3 linked regions of the Kluyveromyces lactis genome follow. The protein of the gene in region 1 interacts with the protein of each later gene in a pairwise test. Links are inferred from orthologs where the notes say so. Each region holds a gene or a part of one and is shown in the gene's direction. Other genes may lie near its edges.

Region 1 (2,987 bases):
ACACTGATCTATCATTTAAGACGAGTCTACTAATATCATCGTCTAACGCTTTGAATTCGGCCCCATCAGCAGGGAAAGCTCCTACGAAGACCATGGGTTTTGGTTCTTCAAATCCTGGTAACACTTCAGTAATCGATTCTTTACCGAGATGCATCAAAGTATCACCAATCTTGGCATCCTTAGATTCTTTCATGCCAGGTACCAAATACCCGACTTGACCTGATTTCAGTGTGTTAGTAGCGACACGATCTGGGTACATTATACCGCATTCCCTCACTTCATACTTCAATCCATTTGCGGCAGTGATGATTTTATCTCCTCTTTTCACTTGACCATCAACTATATGTACAAGAAGCACCACTCCTAAATAAGAGTCATACCACGAATCCACCAATAATGCACGTAATGGTTTCTCAACTTTACCGGTCGGAGGAGGTATTCTATCAACAATAGCGGGTAACAATTGCTCGACGTGCAATCCAGTTTTAGCACTAACTTTGATACAATCTGACTTAGGTAGCTCGAACATATTTTCAACCTGTTCTTCTGCTTGGTCAATGTCAGCAATGTCCAAGTCAATCTTGTTTATGACAGGAATAAGTTTCAAATCCATACTATAAGCGAGGTAAAAGTTTGCGACTGTCTGTGCTTGAACACCTTGGGAAGCGTCAACGAGTAACAAAGCGCCACCACACGATGCATACGATCTTGAAACTTCAGCACGAAAATCCACATGGCCCGGTGTATCCACTAAATGTAAGAGATAGTCCAATTTCGTTCTAGGATCCTGGTAAAACATGGAGCATGTCTGTGCTTTGATTGTAATCCCTCGCTCTCTTTCCACCTCAAGCTTATCTAAAACTTGCTTACCACCTGGCTTAATCACGTTAGTGAGCTCTAAGAGTCTGTCACTGAGTGTAGATTTACCATGATCAACATGAGCCACTATAGAAAAGTTACGATATCTTTCAATTGGAATGGCATCGATCCTCTCTTGTAATGAATGATTACTTCTAACTTGTTGAAAGGCATACCTCACATGTCGAAGCAACCTCCTATTGAACATAATTATCGGGTCTGAAATTTAGAACTCGTAGCTCTATAAGCCTTTCTCTTTCGTCTATCGTTTAACGTCTAGAATTTATGTTTATAGATCTTCCAGTCATTAAACATTGTTGGCAACGAATTGTTTAAATTTGATGTTTATGGCCGTTCAGATCTAAAGTTCAACTTTAACTCATACATACAAAGGGAATAACAAAAAAACGTGATAGCAAGCTAATCCTCGGGACGAATTTTGCAATGAAACTAAAACTAAGTATTCAAGCAGGTACTGAGGACTACTCATTGTTCAGGACAACGTTGATAACGGTGTCCAAACTACGAAAAACATGTATTTTAAGATTTACCTCTTCTAGGCTGGTCATTATATCAACACCAAACAGTACAGGAACGGTCATAGATCAGGGTCAAGTTTGGTGCACAGTCCCACACGATGTGTTTGACACATATGTAGTTAATTCAATTCGAGAAGATAATAGAGTCGCCATGGAGTGCCCCTGTGATACTATTGTCGGCGTGCTGCGGAAATTCGATAAATGCAACGCAACTCAATTGACCATCAAATTGGTAAGATTGGTAACTGTTGACAAGGAAAGTGAAGCAGCTGCAGCTGCTCACAATACAGACAATACACTCTGCGGATTAAGCTTTTCATTTCAAGATACACGAGATGAAAGGACGATACAGCATAATATTAAGGTCGGCGTCAAATTACTGTACAATGCTCAAGACGAGAAGATAGTAGAACCAACAGTTAATTATGTGGGGATTTTGATGTTACAACTTCCGAGTCACGTAAGTGAATGGGGTCCAGGTTTTAATGCGTTTTTTAAGCGAATAGAACGATACGGAAATGTCAATACACTCAAGATACATGGCGAACAATTGGGCGAAAAGGGTTCACTGAAGGTAATTGTTGATGAATTTGACTGGAAACTTAACATCGCATGGAAAGGCCCGTTAGATGCAATGCTCAATGATATGGAAGGTGATGATTCACACTCTGATCCAAGAGATGATACGCTTCGACACAACGGTGAGACAAATGCAGAGTCATCCCCATCACCGGTAGCATGCAATGAAATGCATATTGAGGACAGTGATGTCTTGGACACTGGTATACACGGAAAATCCATTGATCGACATTCAACAATGCTAGAAAACGCTTCTGCTAGGCAATCACAAGACAAGTTGAAAGGTCACGAGGTTATAGTAAGGGTTCGTGATTGGAAAGTTTGTTCTAAACTTTATGAATCATTTGAAGAAGTCGTTCTAGTGATATCACACGATGACTCTTGTGTTTTCCATTGCTCTTTGGAAAGAGGCATTGACAGAGATGAAAACAATAAGGAGAAGGGTCAAATTATTTATTACATAAGTAAATGTAAATCGTTAAACTGATCACGATCATTGATTGTTCTCTGCAAACTTGGTGACAAAATCGACTAACAGCTTAACACTAGACAATTCAACAGCATTGTACAAAGATGCTCTGAACCCACCTACTGATCTGTGACCCTTGAGCCCAGTTAGATTTAGCTTAGTAGCTTCTTCCAAAAATTTAGAATCCAAACCGTCCTTCTTAATGGTGAAGACTACATTCATTTTTGATCTGTATTTTTTGTCTACTGGCAGATTGTAGAACTCTGGGAATTTGTCTAGAGCTTCATACAAGATCTTAGCTTTTTCCTCGTTTTCTTTTTGTTGGCTCTCAATTCCCCCTTGTTCCAATAGGCGTTGTAAAACTAAGTCAATGATATGTAAGGTGAAGATAGGAATGGTGTTATAAGCAGAGTCATTTTTCACTACAGTTGGATAATCAGTGGCAATTGGTGAGACTGGTAGAGAAGCATCCCTCAATTGCTTTGGAGAAACTTTTGCAATGTCATCCAGTATGTCTTTTTTAATGATGTACAAGGTCAACC
Region 2 (2,299 bases), on another chromosome or scaffold:
TGGGGTGTAATTTCAGCTGTATGGTTCCAAAATTGATATCCTTGTAAACAAGATTCAAAACCAAGAATCCCAATAGACTTTAATTTGGTAATCGTGAAATTATCGAGTATTGCGTCTGTCAACAGAATTGATAGAGGAACGCTATGGTAGGTCCCAATAACAAATATTCGAGTTGCATCCTGGAATAGATGCATCCAATTTTTAAGTAGTGATATGGTTTCTTGCAAAACCATTGGAGTTGGTTTGACATCAAGCGGGCATTCGAACGAAAAGGTGAGCGCTCTATGAGGATCAAAGTTTAGTAGCTTCTTGAGCATTTGATCGTTAAGCTCCAGTGCTGTTGGAAGCTTTCCGGTCGAAACACGTTCATACTTTTCGGGCAAAGATCCGTGTAATGATATGACTATTATGGTGTCTTCATTGAAATTAAGAGTGGAATGCTGTTTTAAGTAAAGATGTTTCTCACTGATAAAATTGTAATGGTTTTTTATGGCATGGGCTAATTTCGTTTTAAGTGGCAGTTCATGCATGTACTCAGTTGGAGAAACACCTGGTATGATAGTTGAATTTTTGGCATTTATGATAGTAGATTTTCGCTGTGGTAATAATGGATATTTGGACAATGGCAAGGGACAAGTCGCGCTGCCAGTGTTGTAAACGGATAAAACCCCATCAGAATCGAGTAATTTATTATTCAAAGTTTCATTAAACCAGCAACATGTATCATGTCCTTTAAGTATTCCTTGCTCTGCTTCATTTTCCAATATTTTAATTTGTTTTTTGGTAAGCTGATGGTATGATGTACTGTCGCTGATTTCTAAACTTTCTTGATTGGAGAACCAAGCTGGTATATACCTTTTCAGCCATCCTTCGTCCTGGTGTTCAGAAGACGAATTAGTAGGAGTATCTTGACTGTTTTCTTCTGAAGCATTAGTTCCTGGGATCCATCTTCTCCAAAATGGATTATTATCTTCTCCCGTTGAATTGATGGGTTCGGACATGCGAGATGGTTCACTAATCTAATGTGCTGATGTACAGTACTAGTTGATCATGTGGAAGGAGGTTCACCTCGAACTAATATAGACTATGGTAATATCTTGTCAAAATAAGGCCAAACGATTATTGAAGGAGGATTTTTATTCTTCGCTTATTTGGTTTTGTTGTGATTACAAGGCTTCCCTTTATTTTGTTGTTTTAGATTTTAGAGAATCAATCATAAATAGGAAAAATGTGAAGCTTCATGCAAGTGCTTGAGATGGAATTAAAAGAACGTAACATGTCACGCAGATCTTAGTGAGCTTGTGACATGGAACTGCCGTTGCTAGATAAATTGAAAGTTAGGGATTTGGTTGATAAGAGATTTTCGCATCTTTTCGAAACGGTCTCACTTCTGTCTGGAGATAATGAGGAAGATAACGAAGACCAACTACGACTTAAAAACAGCATAAAGAATCTAAGGGAACATCTTACGGAAAAGGAAGAGGAAATAAGGCAACTACATGATGTTATTAGTGTAAAAAATCGAGATGCTGAGCGTTTGAATGACGAATTGATCAGCATCAACATAGAAAACAATCTTTTACAGGAAAGGTTGACACACATTCAAGCAGAATATGACACCTTGATTGAACGATGGTTACTAAAAGCACAAAGAGAGGCCGATATCATGAATACGAGACTTAAATAGATATGACATACTCTATATGCCTCAAGTTATAAATGAGTTGCGAGTTTTATAAGTGATTTGAAGTTAATTCCCTGCGACTCAATGGTACATCAAATCCCAAGTGCATGAAACTCTTTAAAAATTCAGTTTTCCAAGAAATTTGCTTCAGTAGCTCAGTCGGAAGAGCGTCAGTCTCATAATCTGAAGGTCGAGAGTTCGAACCTCCCCTGGAGCATTTCAATTTACCAAAATTTTTTTAGCTTTCGGATCTTTTCGTTTACTATCACGAAGCCTGAAGTAATAATGTTTTCATGTTGCAACTAAAGTAGATGTTTAATGCTACATTATAGAGGCTAATTCGATGCAATGATTCAATTTAGAATCTGCTCTGCAATTATTTAGTGTACAAATAATAAAAAATTATAGATTGGCCGTGTAATGCTAGGTATCAATGATTCATATTTATCTTCCTTTCAGTCTTGTTGTTCCAATTCATAAATCACTTTGCTGTCTGCAACTGGATCGTATGGTTTTCTCAAGAATTGGGAGAATTTTTTCAAGTTGTTTAAACCTCTAATTTCACCTGCACACAATGGCATCTTAACGATATGGAAATCTTCGTACAATTCATCA
Region 3 (4,161 bases), on another chromosome or scaffold:
AGTACCAGACCACAAACCAACTGTGTAGGATACGCTAGGTAAGTAGCGTTGTTATTGAATTCGGAAATTATGGTAGCTGTTACTTCTTCAGGAAGTTCAAATTCATTGCACAGAGTCACCAGTTCAGCGGTAGACGGTCTATAGTATTTTTTGTATAGCATGTTCCATTCGTTATACTTACCTCTTTTCTTTCTTGGTGAAGGCGTGTATTTAGAAGGGGAGTCACGAAAGGGTGACTGTCTTAATGGAGATTCAGGATCATCCTCAACTGATCCAAACACTTGTGGTATATTGATCATATCAGTCTTATTCTTCGGGGTTGCTAATATGGGCAACGGAAGGCCATTTTCTGTATCAGCTTCAAACACTAATTTCCTCCGGACACTTGACCTACTCCCTTTGCTAGGTGAAAGATCAACATTCTTCAAGGGCTGGATACCACTTTTAGTTCTTGATTTCGACGGAGTCTGGAATAGCTGTTCTTGTAACGACTTCGGATCTATCCCTGTGAATCTTGCATTTTTAACCGCTGACTTTCTAACCGATGGTGATGCAGTATCATCAAACTTCAGCAATTGTCCTTCGGTATCCTTTTGCGGCGAATGAGGCCATATGTTTCTCTTAAATATATTCACAAGTTTGGATACTTGGTCTGGTGGAAGCGGGATCTTCTCCTGAGAATATGGTAGGTCATTGTCATACTTCTCAGCTAGTTTCTGAAACGCAATCAGTGCACATATATGGCACCGAGCAAGTTCCTCTGAATTCTTCAGCATCACTTTCGATACTGAAACGTTGTATAATGTTGCTGTAGTAGAAGCCACTTTCTTTAACCGTTGGTCTTGCCAGTCAACATTAGAATCATTTTTGACCCCTAATAAATCGGTTACACACGTTCGTACTTGCTGCGTAGACATCTTAAATTATTTCCACGGATTCTTAGCACTCTAAAGTGACTAAAATAGGATCATCTACTCACTTGTTGTATTACACTGGCCCGGAAAAGACATATATCTCATCTCATCTCCATGGACCATTTTTAACATAATATTAAAAACAGTCTTTATGTAGCTTTTTGATCTTTTTCTGATTTTCTCGATTTTCTCCAATATTGAAACAAAATATGGTAAATAATGAAATTGAATATTAATCAAAAGTATCATTATTCGCTTCTCCATCTATAAGTTCAGTTTTGGCAATACTTCTAGTATTTCATCTAGCATAAGTTGCTATTCCAGCGTGTGTGTATATTTTAGTTCTCATGAGTGGGTACTATAATAGACAGTACTCTCATTTTCATGGGAATAATGATCGGTACCAAACCGGACGATATGCATATCAAGAAAATGGGAATAGGTACAAGGGCTTCCAACGGAATGGATCAGGGAACCGAAGATACTCCCGCGAGGGGTTTGGGTCTCAACTTAGGAATAATGAGAACGAATCTCGTCCAATACGGTCGCAGTCGCGTGGTATCAGCGAGATTCCTCGTAATCCCTTCGCAACGCGTCCAGTAGTGAGTGCGAAATACGATCGCGATGAGTTTAATACAAAATATCATTATTACGACATTGTAAGTAAACGACTACGAAATGAATCCAGCTTCAAGAAATGGAAATCTGAGAAGATTCCTGAGCATGGATATGTGACAACAACGGAGTTGATTGCATCGGATAAGCAAAAACCAATACTCATGGCCAGGCAGCCTGAACAAACTTCGGTGGATCCGAGAATACGTCCTATGAATGGGGATGCGGTCTCTGGGTCCATTTCTGCGAAAAAGAGATATAGAAAGCTTAGAAGTGCATTGGTACGCAACTCGCGAATTCCGTATGATTCTTTCTACATTGGTCCTGAACCTCCAAAAGAAATCATAGTATACCCTTCTGCATCTAACCAACAACCAATAGCAGCCGCATTATCTGAAGCAATAATCAAAAACTACTTTAAATCATTTGGTGAAATAGCGCATTTTGAACAGTTCATGGATCCAAATAGTGCATTGCCATTGTACGTCTATCTAATAAAATTCACTGGTCCAGTTTCTCAACCTGATGCTCCATATAAAGCTGCTTATAAGGCATCAGAGAAATTCAAAGACGCACCTTACACAGTATCAGGTATCAAGTTCAATGTCATTTTAAACCAAAATACAGTGTTAAATTCAATAAAGGACAAACTAATCAAACAGAACGCAGCCAGAGTGACAGAAGTGAATAAAGCGAAACGGGCCATTGCAGAGAAATCATCCGGGCAGAAACCTCAAGTAATAAGAGGAGTGCCATACGATTTAACTCAAGTTGTGAACAACAGACCAGTTTTGTTTGTTCCTGCAAAGATTACGTTTTATCATAGGTTCAATGCAGCAGATTTCAGATATCAACTTCGTAAGTACAATTGGGCCAAAATTATTGATCACTACACTGGCGTATATATTGTTTTTCATGATCTGGAAAATGCAAAAGCATGTTTAGAGTACGAATCAGGTGCCTTGGTCATAAATTCGCATAGGACTCACTCTCCCATACAAATAGAATTTACTTTCATTGAACCAAAGAGGAGACTTCAATCAAATATCACTAACCAAAGAGATATCAATAAACCTCGAAAGATAGAGTACTCAAGCACGGAAGAGCTATTAGAAGCCTCCACAAAACAAATTCTCAAAGATTTGCATAATATCATTAAGCGTGATATCTTGAGAAGGCTTGTAGGTCCAATTATATTTGATACGCTAAATCCTGCTAACTACCCGGAAGTTGTAGAAAGGCAGAAGAAACTGGACGATGAGAAGAAGAAGCGTGAGGAATCACAAAAGAAGACAACGATAAAGGCCAAACCCGCAGAATTTGATATTTTCAGTCTATACGGACCTGCGTCTAAAACAAAAAAGCTGAAAAGAGATAGGAAAGCTGATCTAGGCAAACGTCATTTATACACTGAAGAATCTCCTGATCATCAACGTAAAAAGAAACCTAAGGTGGAACATATGTCGCATTTGTTAAATGATGAAATTTCTACCAGAGAAGATACAGTGGATTCACTCAATGTTGGCTCAAACGGTGAAAACTCTCCGGAGTCATCTGGATATGAATCGGAAGATATTATTTCAGATGAGTCGAAGAAACAGTCTTCCGTGATAACAACACCGGAGGAAGACCTGCCCGAAAGCGCTGCATCTTTACCTGATGAAAGGTCCAAGGAATTACTACAGTATGAAGGGAAATACAAACCTATTGCATCAGAATTCCCAACCCCAGTATATCCTTATGATGACTTTGACTTGAATAAATCCAAGCAGCTTTCTCTCGATAAGTTCCAGCTTGCTTTGAAAGACGAAGAAGATTTCTCTATTCTCAAGGGCATTGTCTCAGAAAAATCAAAAGATATTACTACTGATTATACACCATTTTTGCCGTACTCAATGTGGAAGTTATACCAACAGATTGAACAAAATGGAATTATTCGGGATAACCAAATAGCTTTGAATGAAAAAGAATTTGATTCAACGTTAGCTTCAACGACTGGTAGTTTTATTGCTGATGGCTTTAAGAAAATTCCTGATAAACTGAAATCTTCATACCTTCTTCATCATCGGAGGTTGGCGCAACCTTTGAACACTGTTCATAATCATCAAGAACAGAATTTCATGGCTTTGAATGGAACAGAATCAACAAATCAAGAGGCTGACTTAGAGCAAGATAACCATAATGCATCCTCACGTTTGAACAGAGTTTTCCAAAGACGTTTCCAGCAAGATATAGAAGCGCAAAGAGCTGCAATTGGCTTTGAATCTGACCTATTATCATTAAACCAATTAACGAAAAGAAAGAAACCCGTCACTTTTGCAAGATCTGCAATTCACAATTGGGGCCTATATGCATTGGAACCTATAGCAGCCAAGGAAATGATTATTGAGTATGTTGGCGAATCAATTAGACAACCGGTCGCTGAAATGAGAGAGAAGAGATATATCAAGTCTGGAATTGGTTCAAGTTATTTATTCAGAATTGATGAAAATACAGTTATAGATGCTACAAAGAGGGGTGGTATCGCTAGGTTTATTAATCACTGTTGTGAACCTAGTTGTACGGCAAAAATCATCAAAGTCGATGGCCGAAAGAGGATCGTCATTTACGCGTTACGTGATATTGGTACCAA

What was found.
Region 2: the proteins of MEC3 (region 1) and ATG16 interact in a two-hybrid assay, tested with the Saccharomyces cerevisiae proteins (2 studies listed by BioGRID). The link is inferred for Kluyveromyces lactis from reciprocal best matches to the Saccharomyces cerevisiae genes MEC3 and ATG16.
Region 3: the proteins of MEC3 (region 1) and SET1 interact in binary tests that used the Saccharomyces cerevisiae proteins (3 or more experiments, as listed by UniProt). The link is inferred for Kluyveromyces lactis from reciprocal best matches to the Saccharomyces cerevisiae genes MEC3 and SET1.

What each region holds. Positions count from the first base shown.
Region 1 is NC_006039.1:440,246-443,232, reverse strand, and holds MEC3 (Mec3p), read left to right. Parts: upstream 1-1,302; coding exon 1,303-2,463; downstream 2,464-2,987. Other genes in the region: GTPase GUF1, read right to left, coding at 1-1,066; SER1 (O-phospho-L-serine:2-oxoglutarate transaminase), read right to left, coding at 2,470-2,987. UniProt on the Saccharomyces cerevisiae protein: Component of the checkpoint clamp complex involved in the surveillance mechanism that allows the DNA repair pathways to act to restore the integrity of the DNA prior to DNA synthesis or separation of the replicated chromosomes.
Region 2 is NC_006041.1:145,657-147,955, reverse strand, and holds ATG16 (Atg16p), read left to right. Parts: upstream 1-1,306; coding exon 1,307-1,687; downstream 1,688-2,299. Other genes in the region: CVM1 (Cvm1p), read right to left, coding at 1-1,001; guanine nucleotide exchange factor GET3, read right to left, coding at 2,140-2,299. UniProt on the Saccharomyces cerevisiae protein: Stabilizes the ATG5-ATG12 conjugate and mediates the formation of the 350 kDa complex, which is necessary for autophagy.
Region 3 is NC_006042.1:2,247,000-2,251,160, forward strand, and holds the start of SET1 (histone methyltransferase SET1), read left to right. Parts: upstream 1-1,261; coding exon 1,262-4,161. Other genes in the region: ORC6 (origin recognition complex subunit 6), read right to left, coding at 1-917. UniProt on the Saccharomyces cerevisiae protein: Catalytic component of the COMPASS (Set1C) complex that specifically mono-, di- and trimethylates histone H3 to form H3K4me1/2/3.